Linked DNA regions of Macaca fascicularis. The protein of the gene in region 1 interacts with the protein of each later gene in a biochemical or structural test. Links are inferred from orthologs where the notes say so. Each region holds a gene or a part of one and is shown in the gene's direction. Other genes may lie near its edges. The genes, in order: PATJ, TJP3, CLDN1, TANC1 and PKP4.

What was found.
Region 2: the proteins of PATJ (region 1) and TJP3 form a complex in vitro, tested with the Homo sapiens proteins (2 studies listed by BioGRID and IntAct, with this or other methods). The link is inferred for Macaca fascicularis from reciprocal best matches to the Homo sapiens genes PATJ and TJP3.
Region 3: the proteins of PATJ (region 1) and CLDN1 form a complex in vitro, tested with the Homo sapiens proteins (2 studies listed by BioGRID and IntAct, with this or other methods). The link is inferred for Macaca fascicularis from reciprocal best matches to the Homo sapiens genes PATJ and CLDN1.
Region 4: the proteins of PATJ (region 1) and TANC1 interact in a test that uses a peptide from one of them, tested with the Homo sapiens proteins (2 studies listed by IntAct, with this or other methods). The link is inferred for Macaca fascicularis from reciprocal best matches to the Homo sapiens genes PATJ and TANC1.
Region 5: the proteins of PATJ (region 1) and PKP4 interact in a test that uses a peptide from one of them, tested with the Homo sapiens proteins (2 studies listed by IntAct, with this or other methods). The link is inferred for Macaca fascicularis from reciprocal best matches to the Homo sapiens genes PATJ and PKP4.

The regions. Positions count from the first base shown.
Region 1 is NC_088375.1:172,972,175-172,977,046, reverse strand, and holds the start of PATJ (inaD-like protein), read left to right. Parts: upstream 1-1,654; 5' UTR 1,655-1,760; coding exon of another isoform or gene 1,761-2,218; exon of another isoform or gene 2,219-2,229; intron 2,230-4,872. Other genes in the region: uncharacterized protein, read right to left, coding at 1,149-1,197, 1,761-2,218.
Region 2 is NC_088393.1:4,469,140-4,472,433, forward strand, and holds the end of TJP3 (tight junction protein ZO-3), read left to right. Parts: exon of another isoform or gene 1-1,628; coding exon 1,629-1,675; intron 1,676-2,079; coding exon 2,080-2,182; 3' UTR 2,183-2,308; downstream 2,309-3,294. Other genes in the region: APBA3 (amyloid-beta A4 precursor protein-binding family A member 3), read right to left, coding at 2,554-2,625, 2,717-2,857, 2,960-3,079. UniProt on the Homo sapiens protein: TJP1, TJP2, and TJP3 are closely related scaffolding proteins that link tight junction (TJ) transmembrane proteins such as claudins, junctional adhesion molecules, and occludin to the actin cytoskeleton.
Region 3 is NC_088376.1:8,232,075-8,236,823, forward strand, and holds the start of CLDN1 (claudin-1), read left to right. Parts: upstream 1-1,581; 5' UTR 1,582-1,816; coding exon 1,817-2,039; intron 2,040-4,749.
Region 4 is NC_088386.1:54,606,400-54,610,559, forward strand, and holds part of TANC1 (protein TANC1), read left to right. Parts: intron 1-1,522; coding exon 1,523-1,754; intron 1,755-2,910; coding exon 2,911-3,077; intron 3,078-4,160. UniProt on the Homo sapiens protein: May be a scaffold component in the postsynaptic density.
Region 5 is NC_088386.1:54,152,041-54,155,619, forward strand, and holds the end of PKP4 (plakophilin-4), read left to right. Parts: intron 1-119; coding exon 120-193; intron 194-1,966; coding exon 1,967-2,215; 3' UTR 2,216-2,959; downstream 2,960-3,579. UniProt on the Homo sapiens protein: Plays a role as a regulator of Rho activity during cytokinesis. May play a role in junctional plaques.

The DNA.
Region 1 (4,872 bases):
CCCCCCTGACTTGGAAAGCCTCTCCTTCTCCATTTTACCTAAATTAATCTGGCTCTGGTTAAGACCTGTTTAAGTTCTAACCCAGGCTTTCAAAAAACCTAACAGATCTCTTCATTTTCTGAGGTCTGGCTTCCATTTGGTAATTTGCCTAACGTTATTTCCCTCAGTAGTTTGTTAATTCCTAAAAAGCAGGAACCATGCTGATATTGTGTGTCTTCTTATCATGCCTAAGAAGTGTTACATTTCTTTTAAAACAAGGAAGCAAACTGTAAAGCACCAAGTGCATGATCTTAATTTTATTTATTTATTTGAGACGGAGTCTTGCTCTGTCGCCCAGGCTGGTCTTGAACCCCCAGGCTCAAGTGATCCTCCGACTTCAGCCCCACAGAGTAGCTGGGACTACAAGCTCACGGCACCACTCCAGGCTAATTTTTGTTGTTGTTGTTGTTGTTGCAGTGGAGTCTCTCTCTGTCACCCAGGCTGGAGTACAGTGGCAGGATCTCGGCTCACTGCAACCTCTGCCTCCTGGGTTCAAGTGATTCTCCTGCCTTAGCCTTCTGTGTAGAGGGACTACAGGCATCCACCACGCCCGGCTAATTTTTGTATTTTTAGTAAAGATGGGGTTTCATCATATTGGTCAGGCTGGTCTGGAACTCCTGACCTCAGGTGATCCACCCGCCTGGGCCTTCCAAAGTACTGGGATTACAAGCGTGAGCCACCGTGCCCGGTCTAAAAGTCTTTATGTTGTAGTTGTTTTGTATCTATTCCTCATCGTCCTGGGGACAGGGATACCATTTTACACATCTTCCCAGAGTCAATCACAGTATTTAACAATTACTGTATGTACTCTATGGATAAGATACCTGAAGATTGATTCTCTTTATCGTTAATGTGTGGATTGTATCAGGCAAGTAAAACCCCTATCATCAAAAGTCTAAAGTTATTAAAGGGAGTGGAAGAATACCATCGGGGCATATTTTTCTCGAAGGTGTGATACACAAATAAAATAAAATTAATATATAGTGAAATCATCACTGTATTTAGAGTCAAAATGCCTTGCCTGTGTTCCAAACAATGGGCCAGTCAACCTACCTGGTGCACGGTTTCCTCATTAGTTTCTTCAGAGAGTAATTGAGATATTGCATAAGCTAGCACTCAGCATACGGCAGGCAAATACTGCTGGATTTCTTCCTTCCACTAAATGAGAAGAAAATAATGACTCCCACATTTACACGTTTTAGAATATTTTATTTTGCGTCAGCGGATATAGAAAACGAGGGATGAGAGACTAAGAAAGGAAAAGGGCAAAAAGGCAAGGTGTTAAGCGGATTGACCCAACGCTTTCATTGATATCCTCCCCAATTTCCTGGATCTTGGGTCTAGCTCTTCACGCAGGCCTCCAACCACACCGGTCTGTCCGGATCTCCCTCCCCGTCAGTGCCGGCTGTCCCCACCAAGCGCGGTCTCATCCGCTCCCCCGCTCCCACAGCCCACTTTTCCCAGGCCTTTGGCCATCCCGCGCCCTGTAGGAATTCACCTGCACAGAAACAGCCAGGGAAAACGTCCTCCCTCCTTGGAGCCCGCCTCCCACAGCCCCGGGTTCCCTCCCCCGCCCCCGCGCCACCCCGGCGCCCCGCCCCGGGCGGAGAGAGTCGGGGCGAGGGGAGGGCCTGCCAGGTGAGGCGCGGCCACCCTAGGCCTCTCACTTCCGCCCAGGTGAGGCAGGGCCGACACCGAGCCCGCCCGACCCGGGCTCCCACCTGCTCCTCCAGCGCACCAGGTAAAGCGTGGGGGTCCCGGCTGTGCGGTGCGCACTTGCCCCTGGGGGTCCCCGCTCCTGGAGGCCGGCCAGGCGCAGCTCCCTCGCGGGCTTCCCGGGCCTGCCTGCCCTGTCCCCGCGCTCTCCCCGCCCGCCCGCCTGGAGTGGGTGGGAGCCGGAGGAGGAGGGCGCCGCCGGGCGCTCAGAGGGGCCGCGGCTGGGATGGGGCGCCCGCTGCGTGCGCCCGCGCTGGCCCGGGAGGCGGGGCGGGGGCGCCGTCCTCCTGCGTCGGGCCCGGGTGACCCCACGGTGGTCCCCGCCCCGCCGCGCAGGGCTCGCCGAGGCCGCGGGCAGGGAGGGGCGCTGCCCCGCCTCCCCAGGCCTTTCGGGCCTCAAATCTCGGCCCACTGGTATTCGGGGGTGGCACGGATCCGATTTTGCGCCCAGATCGGTGCCCATGTTTCGCTCCCAGAGGTGGGCGGAGTCTTTCCCTCCATCGGTGGCCGTGGAAGGAGGGAACGGGGTGAGGGGACAAAGAGGAGGGGGTGCTCAGAGCCGGGCTGAGTGGGCGACTTGGGCTCGGCCGCGTCCCGTAGCGGAGGTTCCCAAACCAGCGGTCAAGCCCTGGGCTCTGCCAGCCTTGCTACGTAGAAAGGGAGGTTCGGTCGGAAAGTGCTTCCAGCCTTAGGGGAAATTCTTGGATTCCTGCTTTTAAATCAAGCTCAGAAAAGCGTTTTCGGATCACTCCCACCCTCCAAAGCGCCCCAGTCGTCCCGCACGCAGGCCGAATTAAGTGAACACCCCTTCACCTGGCACTTTGTCATATTTCCGAGTGACTCTTGCACTTTGGATTCGAGTTTGTTGTTTACTGACTTGCCTCTGCCATTTAGAGGGTGCCCCTTTCAGGGCCTTATTTCTCGACTGCATTTAGGGTCTGGCTATTGGTAGGTGCGCGACAAGTGTTTCTTAAATGATTGAAGAAGCCTTTGGAAACCCTGAAGGACAATGTCGATTCCACTGAGGATGATACTACCACATTCTGGGCTAAATTCCTATTGGCGGCCAATTAATTTGCACACATCTATTTGAAAGAAGTGGAGGCAGGGGCAGCAGTTAAGAACTTAAATCTGTTTGCAGCATTAGAAAATGTTAGGTGAGATTGAGCCTTTTAGCTAAAGTGAGCTTTGATGTTTTTAGGGCCCATAATGCCTTTAAGATGTTGTTAACAACAACAACAAAACACTCCAAATATGTTGAATTTATTTGGGAATGAGAAATGAGGATTGTAGCCCGAGGGGCACAGCCCTGGCAAGCCATATATGCATGTAAGAGGGGAGGGTAAAGGGAAACTTTTATTGGCAAAGTAAGTGCAGATAAGCTGCTTGAAAACAGAGTTTATTGGTTTTGCAGACTCCAAGTCAGAGTTGGCCATTGTCGAACATGCCATTACTGGGCAGGTGTTATGGAGAGCATCTTATCAGGTCTGGCACCCTGCCTCATGCCTGTTATCTCAGCTACTTAGGAGGCTTAGGCAGGAGGATCGCTTAGGCAGGAGGATCGCTTGAGGCCAAGAGTTGGAGACCAGCCTGAGCAACATGGCTGTCTTTACAGAAAAAGCTTTTTAAATAGTCAGGTGTGTCGGGAGGTTGAGGCAGGAGAATTGCTTGAGCCCAGGAGATGGAGGCTGCGGTGAGTGGCGTTTGTACCACTACACTCCAGCCTGGGTGACAGAGCAAGAACCCTGCCTCAAAAAAGAAAAAAAAAAAAAAGGGAAAAAAGATTATCTTATCTTATCTTATCTTATCTTATCTGAATTACTGCATTCCTAAAGAAAGAATTTCTTAGGGGGTTATTTTAGTTTCTTGAGATCTTTATCTCAGACATGCAAGCATGAGCTTTCTCCCTCATGCTCTTCATCTCTAGTTTGTTTGGGTCTGAGAAAAAGTGATTTTGACCTGGTATCTGCAACTTTCACAAAAATAATAAGAAAGTTAATAAATATGGAAATACTTATGGATAGAACTTAGAACTTATAAAAGGAGTTCTGAAGAGATTTGCCCTTACTAGTCCAGATCCTATTAGGGGTAAGAGGAAAAACACAAACTTTTTCCTCTGCTCTCACACCACTGCAATCAACACTGAAGATTTCTGTGACCAAATAAATGTGTGGGGTAATCAGTTCTGCATCAAACAATAGCTGAGCATCTTCCAGTTCGATTCTGATACTGTCTACCTGGGGATAGTGTCAGATCCCATAGGACTGCCCCCACTTCTGATGCCAATCACAAGTCCTAGATTGTTTTACCCTGGCTTCTGACTAACCACCTATAAATTGGGAATCCCATAACCCCCTCCTCTGGTTTGGTTAATTTGCTAGAGCAGCTCACGAAACTCAAGAAAACACTTATTTAGGTTTATTACTAGTTTACTATTAAGAATATTACAGAGGATACAAGAGGAAGAGATGCATAACGTGAGGTTTGAGAAGGGGCATACCACATTCCAGGAACCTCCGTGTGTTCAGATATTGAGAAGCTCTCCCTACCCCATTTTCTTGGGCTTTTTATGGAGACTTCACTGGGTAAACATAATTGAAGCATGGAGTAGGGGAAACCCAGCAATGCCTATCTGTTCAGATTTTTCTTGGCCTCTCTCTGTAGCATTCCTTCCTCCAGGGTATGGGCAGGACCCCTTCTTATGGGGGTCTTACGACCTACAGTCAGACAACGGAGGTCAGATAATTTTTAAAAATATTTATTTATTTATTTATTTTGAGACAGAGTCTTGCTCTGCTGCCCAGGCTGGAGTGCAGTGTCGTGATCTCAGCTCACTGCAACCTCCGCCTGCCGGGTTCAAGTGATTCTCCTGCCTCAGACTCCGGGGTAGCTGGGATTACAGGCCTGTGCCACCATGCCTGGCTAATTTTTGTATTTTTAATAGAAACAGGGTTTTACCATATTGGCCAGGCTGGTCTCGAACTCCTGACCTCAAGTGATCCACCTGTCTTGGCCTCCTAAAGTGCTGGGATTACGGGCATCAGTCACTGCACCTAGCCAAAATTATTTTAATTTTAATTAATTAATTAATTAATTTAGAGACAGAGTCTTGCTCTG
Region 2 (3,294 bases), on another chromosome or scaffold:
GACTCAGACCTGGGGTAGCTAAGAGCCACGTGGCACCGAGCAACTTGCAGCCATTTTTTTTTTCTTTTTTTTTGAGACGGAGTTTCGCTTTTGTTGCCCAGGCTGGAGTGCGATGGCGCCAACTCAGCTCACCGCAACCTCCGCCTCCCGGGTTCAAGCGATTCTCATGCCTCGGCCTCCTGAGTAGCTGGGATTACAGGCATGCACCACCATGCCTGGCTAATTTTGTATTTTTAGTAGAGACAGGGTTTCTCCTTGTTGGTCAGGTTGGTCTCAAACTCCCAACCTCAGGTGATCTGCCCGCCTCAGCCCCCCAAAGTGCTGGAATTACAGGCATGAACCACTGCACCCGGCCTAATTTTTTTTTTTTTTTTGAGTTAGAGTTTCGCTCTGTCGCCCAGGCTGGAGTGCAGTGGCATGATCTCGGCTCACGCCAGCCTCGGCCTCCTGTGTTCAAGCAATTCTCCTGCCTCAGACTCCCAGGTAGCTGGGATTACAGGCGAGCACCACCATGCCCAGCTATTTTTTTTTTCTTAAGGTATTCTTAATAGAGACAGGGTTTCACCATGTTGGCCAGGCTGGTCTCCAATTCCTGACCTCAGGTGATCCACCTGGGCCTCTCAGAGTGTTGGGATTACAGGCGTGAGCCACTGCACCTGGCCTCCAGCCAACATTTTAACCTCTCTCTGCACCTGTTTCCTCATCTAGGACACAGGGTGGATGGTATCAGACTTGGTGGCACAGGGCAGTGGCAAGCACTCAATGTACTCAGCCCAAGTCTTGGCACATAGTAGTTGCGTGTTTTTTTGAACTTGCCCTAACTTACCTAATTTATGTATTTTACTTTTTCAATTTTAGAGATAGGGTCTTGCCCTGCTGCCCAGGCTGGAGTGCAGTGGTGCAATTATAGTTCATAGCAGCCTCCAGTTCCTGAGCTAAAGGGATCCTCTCACCTCAGCCTCCCGAGTAGCTGGGACCACAAGCACGCACCATCACCCATGCCCAGCTAATTTTTTTCACTTTTTGCAGAGATGTGGTCTTGCTATGTTGCCCAGGCTGGTCTCTTAACTCCTGGGCTCAAGTGATCCTCCTGCCTTGGCATCCCAAAGTGCTGGGATTACAGGCGTGAACCACGGCACCCAGCTGTAGTTGGGTGTTTAACAAAGGTGTATGTAGCTCTTAGTGTATATGCCTCAGCATCTTCTTCCACACCCTCTCTGGGTCAATGTAAAAATCTATGAATCGATGACATCTCTGATTAGAATGATTTTCCTAGGGTTGTGCAGTACCCAACCTGTTCAACTGTCCATGGCGGCCGCATATGGAGCAGCCACTATACTAAGTCTTTTACATACATGAACTCATGGCAGTGGCCCTATGAGGACCTGCACAGATAAGAAACGCAATTCCCCTTTTGCTGACAGGCTAGGAGGTCTCAGCTAAGGCCTTCCCCTATCCCAGCCTGTTTTCTCATTTATATTTGGGGATGACCTGCAGACTTGTCATGGGGTTAGCAATTGGGCAGCATGGCCCCGGCCAACGTGGGGGATGGGATGGACGTGGTTATTGATCTCGACTTACCATGCTCTGGGGGGAATTTTGAAGCTCCTCTCTCCCTCTCCTCCAAGGTGGACAGCAGCCATCCCCAGGGTCAGTGGCGACAGGACAGTGTGCGGTAAGAACCACATATTCCAGACTGGGGGCCCCCTCAACCCTTCCCTTGGGACTCAGACTCTGGGGTTAATAAAGAGATCTATATCCAAGCTATGCCTTCATGTGCCCCTAGCCTAGTTGGGAAGACAGAGCCTGCCAAAGCCTCTCTAAGCCCCATATAATCATGGCCAAGGGAGTAGGAATCCACTTCCTGGGAGAGCTAGGAAGGCTTCTTGAAGGGCAGGACATTGAAGCTGGGGCTTTGAGGGATGCATAGGAGTTTGTTAACAAGGCGCTACCCATGAATGCCCAGATGTGCTTATCTCTGCCCACACCCACTGTGCCTAGCACAGTCAGCCTCAGTTTACAGTGGGAAAGCTCACACGCTCCCCACCCACAGCATCTATTCTATTTCCTGATCCCCAGAACCTATGAACGGGAAGCCCTGAAGAAAAAGTTTACACGAGTCCGCGATGCGGAGTCCTCCGATGAAGAAGGCTACGACTGGGGTCCGGCCACTGACCTGTGACCTCTCCCAGGCTGCCAGCTGGTCCGTCCTCCTTCTCCCTCCCTGGGACTGGGACTCAGTTTCCCATACAGAACCCGCAACCCCACCTCCCTCCACCTGGTCTTTAATAAACAGAGTATTTTCACAGCACCGGCTTCTAGTGGCTTCCGGGAAGGATAAGGTGGTGAGAGGGCCAATCCCCGGGCTCACCTTCCTCGGTCTCGTAGACCCTGATCCGAGACTTTGCCGCTTGCATAAGCTTTTACTGTTTTTATATCAGGAAATCATACAGGACCAAGAACCGCTGGGGTCCTGGCCAGCCAAGGCAGGCCCAGGATGGGGCTCCGGGGCCATGGAGGCGAAGGCACAGTGGCAGGCAAGGGACATGGTGGTCACAGGTACACGGGCTGCTCCTGGCCTGTGAGGAGGCGGTATGTGGCGGCTGGCATCGTCTTGATATGTACCTGGGGAGTGGAGGCAGAATGGGGTTCAGGGCAGGCCTGGGCTTGCCAGGGACGTGGGGGCGCCCCTGGCCACCACCCACCACCTGCACACCTCGCCGTAGGCCTCGGTGAGCAGCTCGATGATGCGGGCGTGTGGCGTGGCCACCACGCTCTGCCCATTGATCTCAATGATGCGGTGGCCCACACGGATGCCCCCGCGCTCGGCGATGCCGCCGCGGAGAAGGCTGCAGATCTGGGGGAGGAAAGCGGGGAATGGGAAAGAGGTGGGGGCTGCTCAGGGGCCGTGCTCAGGGCCGCCCTCCTCCCCACCTCGGGCCAGGGGCCGGGGCCTCACGATGCCGTCCTCCACGCAGAAGCCCAGTTGCTCGCGAGTGTGGGGCCGGTGGATGATGGCGGTGGTGACGGGCGGGCAGTGGACGATGCTGAGTGTCACCGACGTCTGCGACTTCGTCTCCTGCAGGGCGGGGGCCGTTGGCCTCACTCAGCTGCCGGACAGCCTGGCAGCCTGTAGCCCCCTCTGGGCCTCAGTTTACCCTCTCATAAACCAGAGACCTGAAGTGCAGGGGCTCAATTCTGGGAGACCCCTCAGATGTGGTGGAGAACAGACTCGGGCCCGGTGGGCTTGGGGTCGAAGCTGTGTGACCTGAGCCATATCACTTCCTTATGGCC
Region 3 (4,749 bases), on another chromosome or scaffold:
ACACTGACAGGCACCCACAGAACATCCACCGAGACCTAGAAAGTAGTACTGACTGCAGGCCCAAACCCTGGGATACAACAGGGACATGGTCTTGCCCTAAACAGCTGATAGGAGAAAGACAGCATTCACTGTGTTAATCTTAGTCCAAATTAAATGTCTTCATCTAACTCCTGTTTTACATTCTTCAGTGCTTGTCCCCAAATCCTAGCACGGCCAAGTCCTTTAGTGGTAAGCCTACACGAAAGGCATCCAGGGAGAGCCAGGTGGAAATGAAGGTGGTGGGGCTTGGCCTTTCCTCCCATTCCCTCCTTGAGCATTTGCACCTTTCCTTCTCTGTCACCCACTAGCAGTTGCCATGGTATATAAGAGTATATCTTGTTTTCTCCTTAATATGTTTATTTCTGCTTCCAAGGTGCTTCTGTTTTTACTAAAACCATAGAAGCTTCCCCTCCCACCACACTCGCACCACGCACAAAAAGCAGTGGGAAAACACTTCAATTATTCCTAACCACAGCAGCACTTCTGACTAACTACAAAGAAGGAAGCTTTAGAGAAGCATAGAGGGAAACTACAGTCCCAGCGAGACCGAAACCGGAGGGGTGACATAGCCAGTCACAGCAAAAGCTGGAACCAGAGCCCAGACTTCCTCAACTCCAGCCCAGTCCTTCTTCCACTGGGAAACGCTGTTTACATGCCCTCACCTGTGACGAACAGCATGTGATAACTCACAAAATTAACATCTTTCAGGGAGAGCGGGGCACCGACCAGGTCTCTCTGATAATGAATTGCTGCCTAAGACATAACTGCTGTGGGCAGGAGGTTGGTGTTTGGCGGGGGAGGGCTAGGCTGCATTTTCGTAAGGACAATAATACATCAAAAAGGACAATCAGAGATCAAAGGGGGTATTTTTGGGTCAACTTGATATGTAGTGGAAAGCAGATTGGGAGGGGAGCCAAGTACTAGATATGCTGTGTGTGTGTGTGTGTGTGTGTGTGTGTGTGTGTGTGTGTGTGTGTGTAAATCATGTTCCTCTCTGGGTCTGTTTCCCAATTTGTAGAGTGTAAAGATCTCTCTCTTGCAGAGACAAGTAATGGAACGACCTTGACAGAAGGGAGCAGAGAGATGAAAGGAGAAGGGGGAGGAAGCCAAGTAAAGGAGAGAGAAATGTGTGTGATGGGGGAGGAGATGCGGAGTTGGGTGGAAATGCCTTTTAATAAAACAATAGGAAAAAGGTATTAAACCTAAAACTGCAGCTCTTGAGGGCTCATTTTTTCATCTTTGTTTTTTGGATTTACAGGTACAGTGCATAGTAATTTTTGGATAATTGGAGTGAATGAATGAAAAGCGCGAAACGCCTGACAGGAGCGGGAAGATCCACCAGAGAAAACGAGCAGGGACGCAGCTATAGTGCCTGGTCCTGCGGGATGGTCCCCACGCCACCAGCCGCGTGTTCCCCCAACCCGGCGCTCCCGGCGCCCTCTCGGTGAGCCGCCCTGAAACCGCCAGGGGGCGCTCCCCGGCTGCCGGGGCCGAGGCGGGCGGAGCTGCTTTAAATCGCGGCGCCCAGCGGTTTGGCGTCTCAGTTCCTGAGCCTGGGAGCAACCGCAGCTTCTAGTATCCAGACTCCAGCGCCGCCCGGGCCCCGGACCCCAGCCCGGACCCAGAGCTTCTCCAGCGGCGGCGCAGCGAGCAGGGCTCCCCGCTTTAACTTCCTCCGCGGGGCCCAGCCACCTTCGGGAGCCCGCGTTGCGCACCTGCAAACTCTCTGCCTTCTGCACCTGCCACCCCTGAGCCAGCGCGGGCGGCCGAGCGAGTCATGGCCAACGCGGGGCTGCAGCTTTTGGGCTTCATTCTCGCCTTCCTGGGATGGATCGGCGCCATCGTCAGCACTGCCCTGCCCCAGTGGAGGATTTACTCCTATGCCGGCGACAACATCGTGACCGCCCAGGCCATGTACGAGGGGCTGTGGATGTCCTGCGTGTCGCAGAGCACCGGGCAGATCCAGTGCAAAGTCTTTGACTCCTTGCTGAATCTGAGCAGTGAGTGCACCCCACCTCCCAGCCGTCCAGAGGCCCCAGTCCCCCTGCAGCTCCCTTACCGTCTCATTCTGTCGTGTGATTCCATGGTTATCAGTCTTTAGTTGATCAAGTCTTCTGATCATGTGCTCTGTCATAAGGAAATGAAGAGAATCCTGGTCTGAGAAAAGGGACGCCCAGGCATAAGCTCTAGTTTTGCCTAAAACTCCCTGGGTGATACTTTTCTGCCACTCTAGGTGTGGCTTCATCCTAAATTCCTATGCCGGGGGGTCGAGATTGAGGGAGTGAAGGCTAAACTTGAACTTGAGCTCTGAGACCTCTCCTAGGCATTCTGAGATCTGGGGTAAATTGAGGATTGGTAGGGTTCAGACAAGAAAAATGGGATGGCTTTAAAAGTTTGGAGCCTGGTAACTTCTCAAGTGTGCAAGCTTAAATAAATAATCCTCAAGTATGAGATATAATTTTTGTAACCTTTACTATGATTTTGCATAGTAAAATTTACATTCCTACTTGAAATGTCCGAAGTGTCTTCTGCTCATACTTGAGGATGATTCTTTTAATGTGTAAGATCTAGTTAGTGCAGGGAGGCCCCTTGCAAGACTCTGGAGAAGCCGCTTGAGATTCCCCCAAAGTTTGAAGTTTTACACCCAAGGTCTTCGGTGGAGGCTGATGGTGTAGTTCTATTTTGGAAAGAGAAGGTTGGTGGCAAGTGGGGGAAGGCTGACAACAAAGGTTCTAAATAACCTGCCCAACATAATACAAAGGGAAAAGTAAAGGCACTGAAGGGAAATGCAGCAAAATAGTCATAGCTGATGAAATCAGAGGTCAGCTGGGAGTGGAAGGCAGTGAGAGAGAAAGAAGAGGTGGGTCTTCCTTAGGTTTCCATCTTCCACAAAGGAATTTCTGTGTAATGGATGTTCAGTGACCCCTTGTCACGTTGGAAAGGATTGTATAGAGAGACATATTTCTAAGGATGGTGGGAAGAAGGATAATAGGATAATTTTTTACTTTTTTTAACTAAAGGTTTTGAGTGCCTTGTCAGAAAAATCATTAAATTCCCGTTTACTTAGGTAATAATGATTCATGGCTGGAGTATCTTCCTAGAGAAATCACATTACTTGTCTTATATCATGTGTCTGTTATGCCCTTTAACTCACTTGAAGAAAAGGTCCCTTAGTCTTTGCCTAGATAAACGTGACTGCCCACTAGCCCCCATTGTGTGCTAAGGGCGGAAAGTGTTGGCATTGTTCAAGTTTACTTAACTTGTTTTGTCTACCTCCTATCAATGGACAACTTTTAATAGTGTATATCAAAAGCCATATAGTTTAGAGCTATTAAACCTGTTCCACATCTGTTTAAACACCTTGAATACCTGTGGCATTGGCTCAGTCAATGTGCATGGTCGTTTTGAGTGTTAGGATTTCAGCTTCTGAAGGTTCCCATGTTAGGACTTCTTTACACCAAAACCAATCTCTAAGTTTAGTAATTATGTGTTGCTCATTGCCCTCATGGGTTATATTTGTGCTTATAAAGTGAAAAATTAGGTAATAATTATTGAATTTCTCCATGGAAAGATAGATATATTTAAGGAAACGGTGTCAGGCATTTTAGGTGGCACGTTAAGGAATTGGCAGACGGAGGTTTCTAAGGACAATTCCAGAGAGGCCTCACTGTCAGTTTTGTTCCTCTGATCAAAATAGTTCCTTTCAACATCTTTAAATAGGTTTTCTTTTAACTTTCCTGAAATGACCACATGAAATCAGATTGATCCATGTTGTAAAAACTCAAAGGGATCACCCTTACACACGATAATGTGTTAAAATGTTTTCCTTTCATTTTTTGGTTAATGTAGTTATCACAGTTTTTGAAACTGCGGTGAAAGGACTAAATAGCTATTCCCCCACATACGCTTTAGAGGTGTCTTCTTAGTTGTTTTTTTTTAAACTCCAGATCAGAATCCACTTTTGTTTTACTTAAAGCCATAGTTTATCCAAGGTGTGGCTTACACCTTTCTCTCAAAACCCATTCTCAGAAGAGGGACCCTGGACTCACAGGTTTTCTCTTCGAACCTGCCATGACTCACGGCATGCTTTTGGATGGAGTCCAGGAAACCTCACTCCATTTCTCTGCCTGAGCAGTGGCGTTTACGCCCACCAGCTGTAGAGATCTGGGATGGTGATTCATTGGCCGGTTTTGGGATAGTTTTGTTACATGTGGAGACGAAAAGGGTTATGTGTGTATATCTAAGCAGTATCCCTCATAAAAAAGCTGCATTTCATTAAGTGTGTTTAGGTGAAAAGCTTAGCTGTGGGTTTCCTGAAATTGTACCTTGCTGTCTTTCCCAGTAGAGAACACTTGTCTTCGAGCCCAGATGCAGGGCTTTGCCAAGGCTTTAGCACTGGAGGTATTAAAATCTCTTGTTTCCCTGGTTTATGTAGGGTAGGTTGTAAAAAGCATATGACCTTCATAAAGTAGCTGAAGGAATACAGTGTGCTAATAGTGTATACAGTAAATACAAAATGAGATACAGCAAGTCTTCTTCTTTTAGGTAGTTCTTGGCAAGCAGTTTATGAAAATGTAACTGAGGAACTTCCTGGGGGAAACAAATGTCACATTGTGTATTGTAGTTTTACAATGGCTGATACAATTTCCATTTCATCCAAAGTATGAGATTTTATTGACCCTGGGCATTCTTGTAGCTGAAAGTTGGAAT
Region 4 (4,160 bases), on another chromosome or scaffold:
TACAAAAATTAGCTGGGCGTGGTGCCGGGCACCTGTAATCCCAGCTACTAGGGAAGCTGAGGCAGGAGAATCGCTTGAACCCAGGAGACGAAGGTTGCAGTGAGCCAAGATTGTGCAGCTGCACTCCAACCCAAGCAACAGAGCAAGACTTCATCTCAAAAAAATAAAAAATAAAAGTAAATAACTAAATAAATAGATTTCATGACCCACTGTTGGGTCATGGAAAAAAAAGCAAAGCTGCTTTTGTGAAACGCCGTGCAAGACTGTGGTACTGGACATCTCATGATGGTTTGCACAAGCTTACAGGATGCTCACGTGTATCCCTGCTAATTTCTGTCCAGGTGAGAGTTGGAGAGCAGCCAGCTTTCCTCTGAGTGTTGACGATAAATTTAATCTAAACCAAAAGTCTCATGGCAGCTCCAGGTTGGCCAGAGGAAAGCTGTTGCACATTTACTTTTGCCACTTGTCTTTTAAAGAGTCTGCAGACCTGGGATCTAATCCCACATCCTTGACTATCTGTGTCAGGTTGGCAAGGCATCTAACCTCAGTGTCTGGTGCCCTCAGTGATGAACTGTGGCTAGTGGTTCTTGTCCTACTTCCTGCAGGGTCTTGCCGCGTCCAGTGGGACAGCAGCAAGGCAGATACTTCCAAAAAACATGTATCTCTTGGCACAAGTGTTTTGCTCTTCTTTGCCTTCCTTACCTTGTACTTGTGTTTCTCCTATCATCCTTCTTTGGAAAAGTATTGGATTTTTCTTCTATCTACTGCATGCCTCCCATTCCCAACACTTCTGTGTCTGGCCGTTTCCTGGCGTCCCTCTCACAAGCAGCCTGCTGATGCTGCAGGTCCCTTGGAACAGAACGATTCCTTTTCCTCTCAGTACCCAGGCAGCTCCCTCTCTCCTCCAACTTGTCTCTCCACATGATGGGCAGAGAATTGGTGATTTCGGGTTTCATTCTTCAGACAGCGTCCCTATTGAACTTCTCCACAGTGTCCCTTGATGCAGTGCGGGTGTGGGGAGGGGCCAACGTCTTGACCCTCTGGACCAGGAGAAGGAGCTGCTGCGACTCTGCAGCCCCGGTCTCACAGCCTCTGGCTTTATCATCTGCCTTTTGGGATCAGCAAAAGGGTTTCCTAAAGAGGTGCTGCTGCTCTTGAGAACAGAAGCCTAGTGAAGATGGCACTTTTTGATGTTGAGAATATTAGGATGGCTTGGAGCTGCTCTAAGCCAGGGTAAATTTTACATTTTATGAATGCTGTTTGCTTATATTCAATACAAAGTAACGTGCTGATTTTTATGCTAATCAAGATGGATTTTGTGGATGCAGTTAAAGGTTCGCAAACCACACAAGGGAAGGAAGGAATAAATGGAACAATTATGCTAACAAATGACCCAGTCTTGGGCAATAGATGTTATGTATCTTGTTATCAGCGGACGAGCAGAGTTGTGTTCCTGTTTGAGATCGCAGAAGGAGCTGTGTGAAGAGGGTGAGGTGACGCTGACAGTTCTGCTTCCCCCTAGGTGGTGGCCTACCACTACTGCCAGGCTGACAACACATACACTTGCCTGGTGCCCGAGTTTGTGCACAGCATCGCAGCTTTGCTCTGCCGGTCCCATCAGCTGGCCGCCTACAGAGACCTTCTGATAAAGGAGCCCCAACTACAGAGCATGCTGAGTCTCCGATCCTGTGTGCAGGACCCGGTGGCAGCTTTCAAGAGGGGAGTGCTGGAGCCACTCACAAACCTGAGAAATGGTACCTCATAGCAGCTACCTACAGCCCCTCTCAGTAGTGGTACAGCATACACAGGTGGTCCCCAGAAGGCAGGTGGTCAGCGGGGCCCTGGGGTAGAAGTGAGCTGGAGCAGGGAGAGAATGTGGAAGCGTCAGTGCCCATCCGCTCCTCTTTCTCAGAACCAGCCCCATGAGGTCCCTCCTACACCACCCCTGTGGTATAGTGTTAAAAGGAGCACCCTGATAAGAATGAATGTGATGACTGAGCGGTTCCAAAGTAGTTTGTAACTGTGGGCTATTTAGATGACTTGCACCACGGAAGACTGTTGTGTATTTTGCACTCCTAAGTATCTGAGGGAATAAGTGGATTATTTGGAGGAATTTTCCAGAATATATATTTGTCAGGGCCTCTGCTCAGTTGAATTGAAACCTTAAAGTGACTTCTAAAGGTTTCCATTTTAATTTTTTGTCCCCAACAAGGTATCAGTGACCTGATGGTCCCTTCAGTTTCCCATCTTCTCTCCCCTCACCTCCTCACCTTTTGAGCTTGTTTATCTGCCCACATGGCCCCTCTGCTGGAAGGTGCTAGAGGGATAGAAAACAGATATGTCATCATTTCTTCTCTATTTCCTGGGCAGAAAATCAGCACTAATAAATAGGAAACCAGATTCTGGCTCGCGGAGAAGAGCCCTGTTGGAGGAGTCAGTAGTGTGGAGCTCTCACACTGTGTGGTTGTGTGGCTTGGGCCGGGCACTTTGCCCTGGGTTGGGGGCAGCGAGGATGTCAGTTTCCCTTCCCTGGAATCCACTAAGGAGCTCTCATGGGGGACCTAGTGACCTTTCTGGATTGGAAGTCTGTTATGTGTTCATTATCTTTGTGTAGCTCACCCCAGTGACAATGGTTTATGAAGAGCTAACTGTATTATATACATGAGTGAGATTCTGCTAACGTATGTCATGCAATATGTTTGTTTTGTGAGAATTGGTTTTCTTTTGGCTCTGTGCTCCAGTTTTCACTATAAATTTAATAGAAAATATGCTTCTGTGAAAACTGTTTCTTGTGCCATATGTAAACCTTTTTAGTTTCTAACATTAAACTGGGCACTAAAATACACTGGGTGTTGCTGTCTTAGAGAAATGTATAATTTCTTAATTTGAAAAAATTATTTTATCCTGTAGAGCAGAAAATTCCTGAAGAAGAATACATTATTTTGATAGATGGCTTAAATGAAGCTGAGTTTCATAAACCTGATTATGGAGATACGCTTTCTTCATTTATTACCAAAATTATTTCTAAATTTCCTGCCTGGTTGAAGTTGATTGTGACTGTAAGAGCAAATTTTCAGGTAACAAAGAATTCTCAAATCTTTCTCCAAGTCCCTATATTCCAATTTTACAGTGATAAATATTAATAACATAAAACTGTTGTAAACCATTCAGCTGCTTGAATTAGAAACTATGTTAAGAATTTGAAAAATTAGTCCAGAGAGCCCCACATGGGTGAAACTCTGACCTTTTTAGCTCAAGGCATATTTATCAAGATGTCAGGTAAGTTTCCTGTTGGCATCGAATTGCACATTTTCAAATGGTGGCATCTAGCCCTGGTTACCGTCATGGAGTGTGTGGGGCCAAGAGGCCTGCCAGAGTTTAAACCTACTCCTGCTGGTAGTTATTTGCATGGGTTTGCTGTGGGGCTTTGTGTTTTTTTGAAGGGAAAAATGAAGGTGAAAGATTTTTTTTTTTTTTTGGAGATAGAGTCTTGCTCTGTCGCCTAGGATGGAGTACAGTGGCATGATCTTGGCTCACTGCAGCATCTGCCTCCCGGGTTCAAGTGATTCTCCTGCCTCAGCCTCCCGAGTAGCTGGGATTACAGGCAGCCACCACCACGCCTGGCTAATTTTTGTATTTTTAGTAGAGATGGATTTTCACCATGTTGGCCAGGCTGGTCTCCAACTCCTGACATCAGGTGATCCACCCGCCTCAGCCTCCCAAAGTGCTGGGATTACAGGCGCGAGCCACTGTGCCCAGCTGAAGGTGAAAGATTTTTAAGGCCTATTCTCAGAAGTCTATTTTTTCGTAAAACTTAAACATGAGGTAACATTTGCAGCAAGCGGTAGGGTGATATTTTTTCCCCTCCATCTTCCTTCTCTCTTGAATCCTGAAATTGTATCTTAACCATTGACTCCTTCTATACCTATCGTGTTTCAGTAAAGACTTTTAGACATTAGGTTTTGATTTTTGCCCTTTTATGATATTTATTTAAAAACAGCATTTGGAATTTTTTCATTATAAAAACTGAAATTATACCTCAGTTGAACTTGATGAGTGTGTTTTGGACATTCAATTTGTATATTTTTCAGTCTTTTTTTACACAGTAAGCACAATTTCGCAATCAGTAGAGCATGGGAACCAGGAACCTTACGTTCCTC
Region 5 (3,579 bases), on another chromosome or scaffold:
CACTGGGGAAGGCAGGCCCTGTCGGGGACAGCACTAGCCCTAGTGCAGGGGAGACCGCTCAGCCTAATGGACCAGAGTAATAAGCACTAGTTTTAATTTCATAAAATATTTTCTTACAGGCTCCAGCAAACCTTCACCAATTTACATCAGTTCCTATTCCTCACCAGCAAGAGAACAAAATAGACGGCTACAGGTGAATTTGCAATATCATTTTTACAGAAGGCCGATTAGCAGTTAACACAGTAAGGGGTCCACGTCGGTTGACTTCCCAGAGCTGGGCCAACACGGCAGGGCCCTAGATGCTTTCCCTGGGGATCTTCACTCCTTGGAAACTCACCCGTGGTTTAAGCAAAGCATTTCCACGGTAGCCTCACGTTCTTAAGTATCCACATCGGTACTGCTGAGACCACCACGCCACTGATGGGGACAGCCAAGAAGTCTTTAGTTCATGTCCTTTGCCCAGCGGTGTCCTTTTCCCACTCTTTTTCTGTTAAGCTTTAAAATCTCTTCCAGCCTCTGGGTGAGGGAAGGTTGGTAAGCACACTTCATGCCCTCATCACCTTGTTCTCTTTTGTGTATACCTCATTCTCCATCTCACCCCTCTCTGTCCAGGCTCCACAATTTAAAAACACTGAGTCCATGGCCAGGTCTGTTTGTGTCGGTGGTTAAAGTGGACTCAGCCCCTGCCGGAATGGACCTCACTGTGGGAGAGTGGGACTGGCGGTTATAACACATCCCGGCTTTGCTTTCATGAAGGGCCTGCAGTCAGTCTCAGGTCCTTCCCGGTGCCGTGGTGAACCTGGACCATCTGGTCGCTCCTCTTCCCTTTCAATAACAGAGCAGCTGGAGTTTCCTAAAACAAGACTGTATCCTGTCCTTCAGATAAGGATGTGTTCTAAGACCTCTCCTTCTCATCATCTTTTCTCTGTAGATGGAAGAAAACGAATTTTCCAAGTTATTCATAATTTATGCCATAGTTTTTTAGTCAGGAAAAATAGACCAGAATCATAACTCTGGCTTGAAAAGAGAATTTAGCTCTGAAATCCTTATAATGTTAGAATGCATTGAGTTCCAGGACATAACATTAATTCCTGTGTGGTAAATTTGTTACATCTTACTAAGTAGGGGGATTTGGGCATGATCAAGAAGATAGACATAATAACCATCACAATTTGAAGAAATTAATGTGAGGTCAACGCTAAGACCGAACAAAAGGAAATGGAGAGCAGTGTGCCCTTTGTGGGTGCCCACGTGTGCCTGGCCTTGCCCACTTACAGATGGACTTAGCCTTGGCTTGGGGAAGCCTTTTCCTCTAGAACCATATTTGCTCACATGTCTCTCCTAATTTTACTATTCTTCTACCTTGAGATTGCTTATTCCTTTAATATTACGACTTACAGCAGAGTTTCCAAAGTGTGACTATTGTTCACCTAGCCACATACATCTTTTAAAGTGGAGAGATGGACTCCATCTTCATATCCGAAGTAAATGTTTTAAAAGATGGTTCGGTAATTATGCAATTATGCAAGGCCCAGAAACCCAATCTTCGACTAAATTAGTGATGTGCTAATAATTCCCCTGTGTCAAAGCAAATGTCAAGACCATCCTCTCATTCGGCATGCCCAGGTAACGGGTCCCTCCACAGCTGAGCACACAGCAGGGCCTCCAGTAAGGAGGGGAAGCCGCTGGGGCCACGTACCTGGAGATCTCAGGCTCTCCTGAGGCACCTACTTCTCTAGAGGTCTTAGGACAGGAAACTCAGCAGCCTGCCTGAGAGTGCAGCTTAAAATCCTTAGAGTCCAATAGTAAACAAACACATAGTGTGTGCCAGAAACAGCTTTTAACTTTAAGCTGCAACTATTGAATATTGCTTTAAAAATATGAAGCAAGAAGCCCACATTAATTTTCCTGACACGTCTTTTTAAAAAATTGCTTTTATTTATTTGCCTTTTCATTTTGTCAACAGCATCAACAGCTGTATTATAGTCAAGATGACTCCAACAGAAAGAACTTTGATGCATACAGATTGTATTTGCAGTCTCCTCATAGCTATGAAGACCCTTATTTTGATGACCGAGTTCACTTTCCAGCTTCTACTGATTACTCAACACAGTACGGACTGAAATCGACCACAAATTATGTAGACTTTTATTCCACTAAACGACCTTCTTATAGAGCAGAACAGTACCCAGGGTCCCCAGACTCATGGGTGTAGCATCAAGATGCCCGACAGAGGAACTCTTTCTTTCTAACCTTGTTTGGATTGAGGTGAAAAGTCCATCTTGCTGATTTGATGATTGAAATGTGAAAGTGAAGTGGAAGGAATGAGTGAAGTGCGTTTTTTTTTTTCTTTTTTGAGGAATTATCAGGGAAGTGAGGAAATTTTGGGAGAGGACTTTCTAAGCTCTATTTAGTTGTTAGATCTAATTATAGATTCTGTAGTCTGGTGAAGGTGTGGGTGACGTGATGAGAGGTTTGAGAAATGGGTGAAATGAAATGGGGGATGTGTAGGTCAAATCAAATTAAAGATTTTTTTAATGTGAATAAAGTTATGTTCTGATAGTTTGTACAGAAAAAATAAAATGGATGCCCATGTTTTATTGCTATTACTAAATGTCAAGATTGTATGCTATTATGTCTTGTAAATTTCTTTGTTGGTGTAAATATGGAAATGCCACATTGGTTAAGTGCCATCATTTGTAATGCAGTGTGTCACTTGAGAAGAGATTTGAAGAAACTGACAACTTCAAAAACAAATGGGAAGCCCAAGGAACTGTGAGCAATTAAAAACAAACTGCGATGCCCTTTGTCCCCACCACGCGTAGTGTACTTTGGAAGCACAACGTCCAGGCTGGTACCGCAGCGCCATGCCCATTCCTCGCCTCGTTCATAGGACACTTCACTGCCATTTTCTATGCACATAAAAGAAAAATAAATGTGGAAATTTCATCCTTGGAAATGTGTTCTCTATTCTTTTTAAATTTTCTGTATGTATATGGAAAAGCAGATTTAATAAACACAAATCTAACTGCATGTTGGAAACAGCCTAAACATATCCAACTATTTTGGACTTTTCCTAGTTTTATATATACTTTGTAAGATGGACCACACCAAAGAATTAAGCTATGAACTTTCCTCCTCTGACTATGTAGGTGTTTTCATTTCTTGGAATCTATTTTAAATCTAGTACACTTTACAGTTTTATCATGTTTTTCTCAGACCCATATGTACATATCATCACTCTTCACCTAAGACAAGTTATATCTGGCAGCGTGGCCGTAACTAAATTGATACTTTTTTAGGCATCGTTTTTAAGAACTCGGTAACTTCATAATAATAGTGGTTGGGCATTTATTTCATTGGCACCAATATAATAAAACAAATTCTAAATTATGATCTTGTTGAATAATTCCATGAGACAGTAATTCCTGGATTAGGAATGGGGCAGGGGAAAGAAGCCCCACAGATAGGGTAGGCAGAGGTCCCCATAGCACCACACAGCATTACTTGGGAGCTTTTCTCCATCTGTGGAGACAATGAGGGGCACCAGGCCCAAAATCTGAGGCCTTCTCGGGTCTT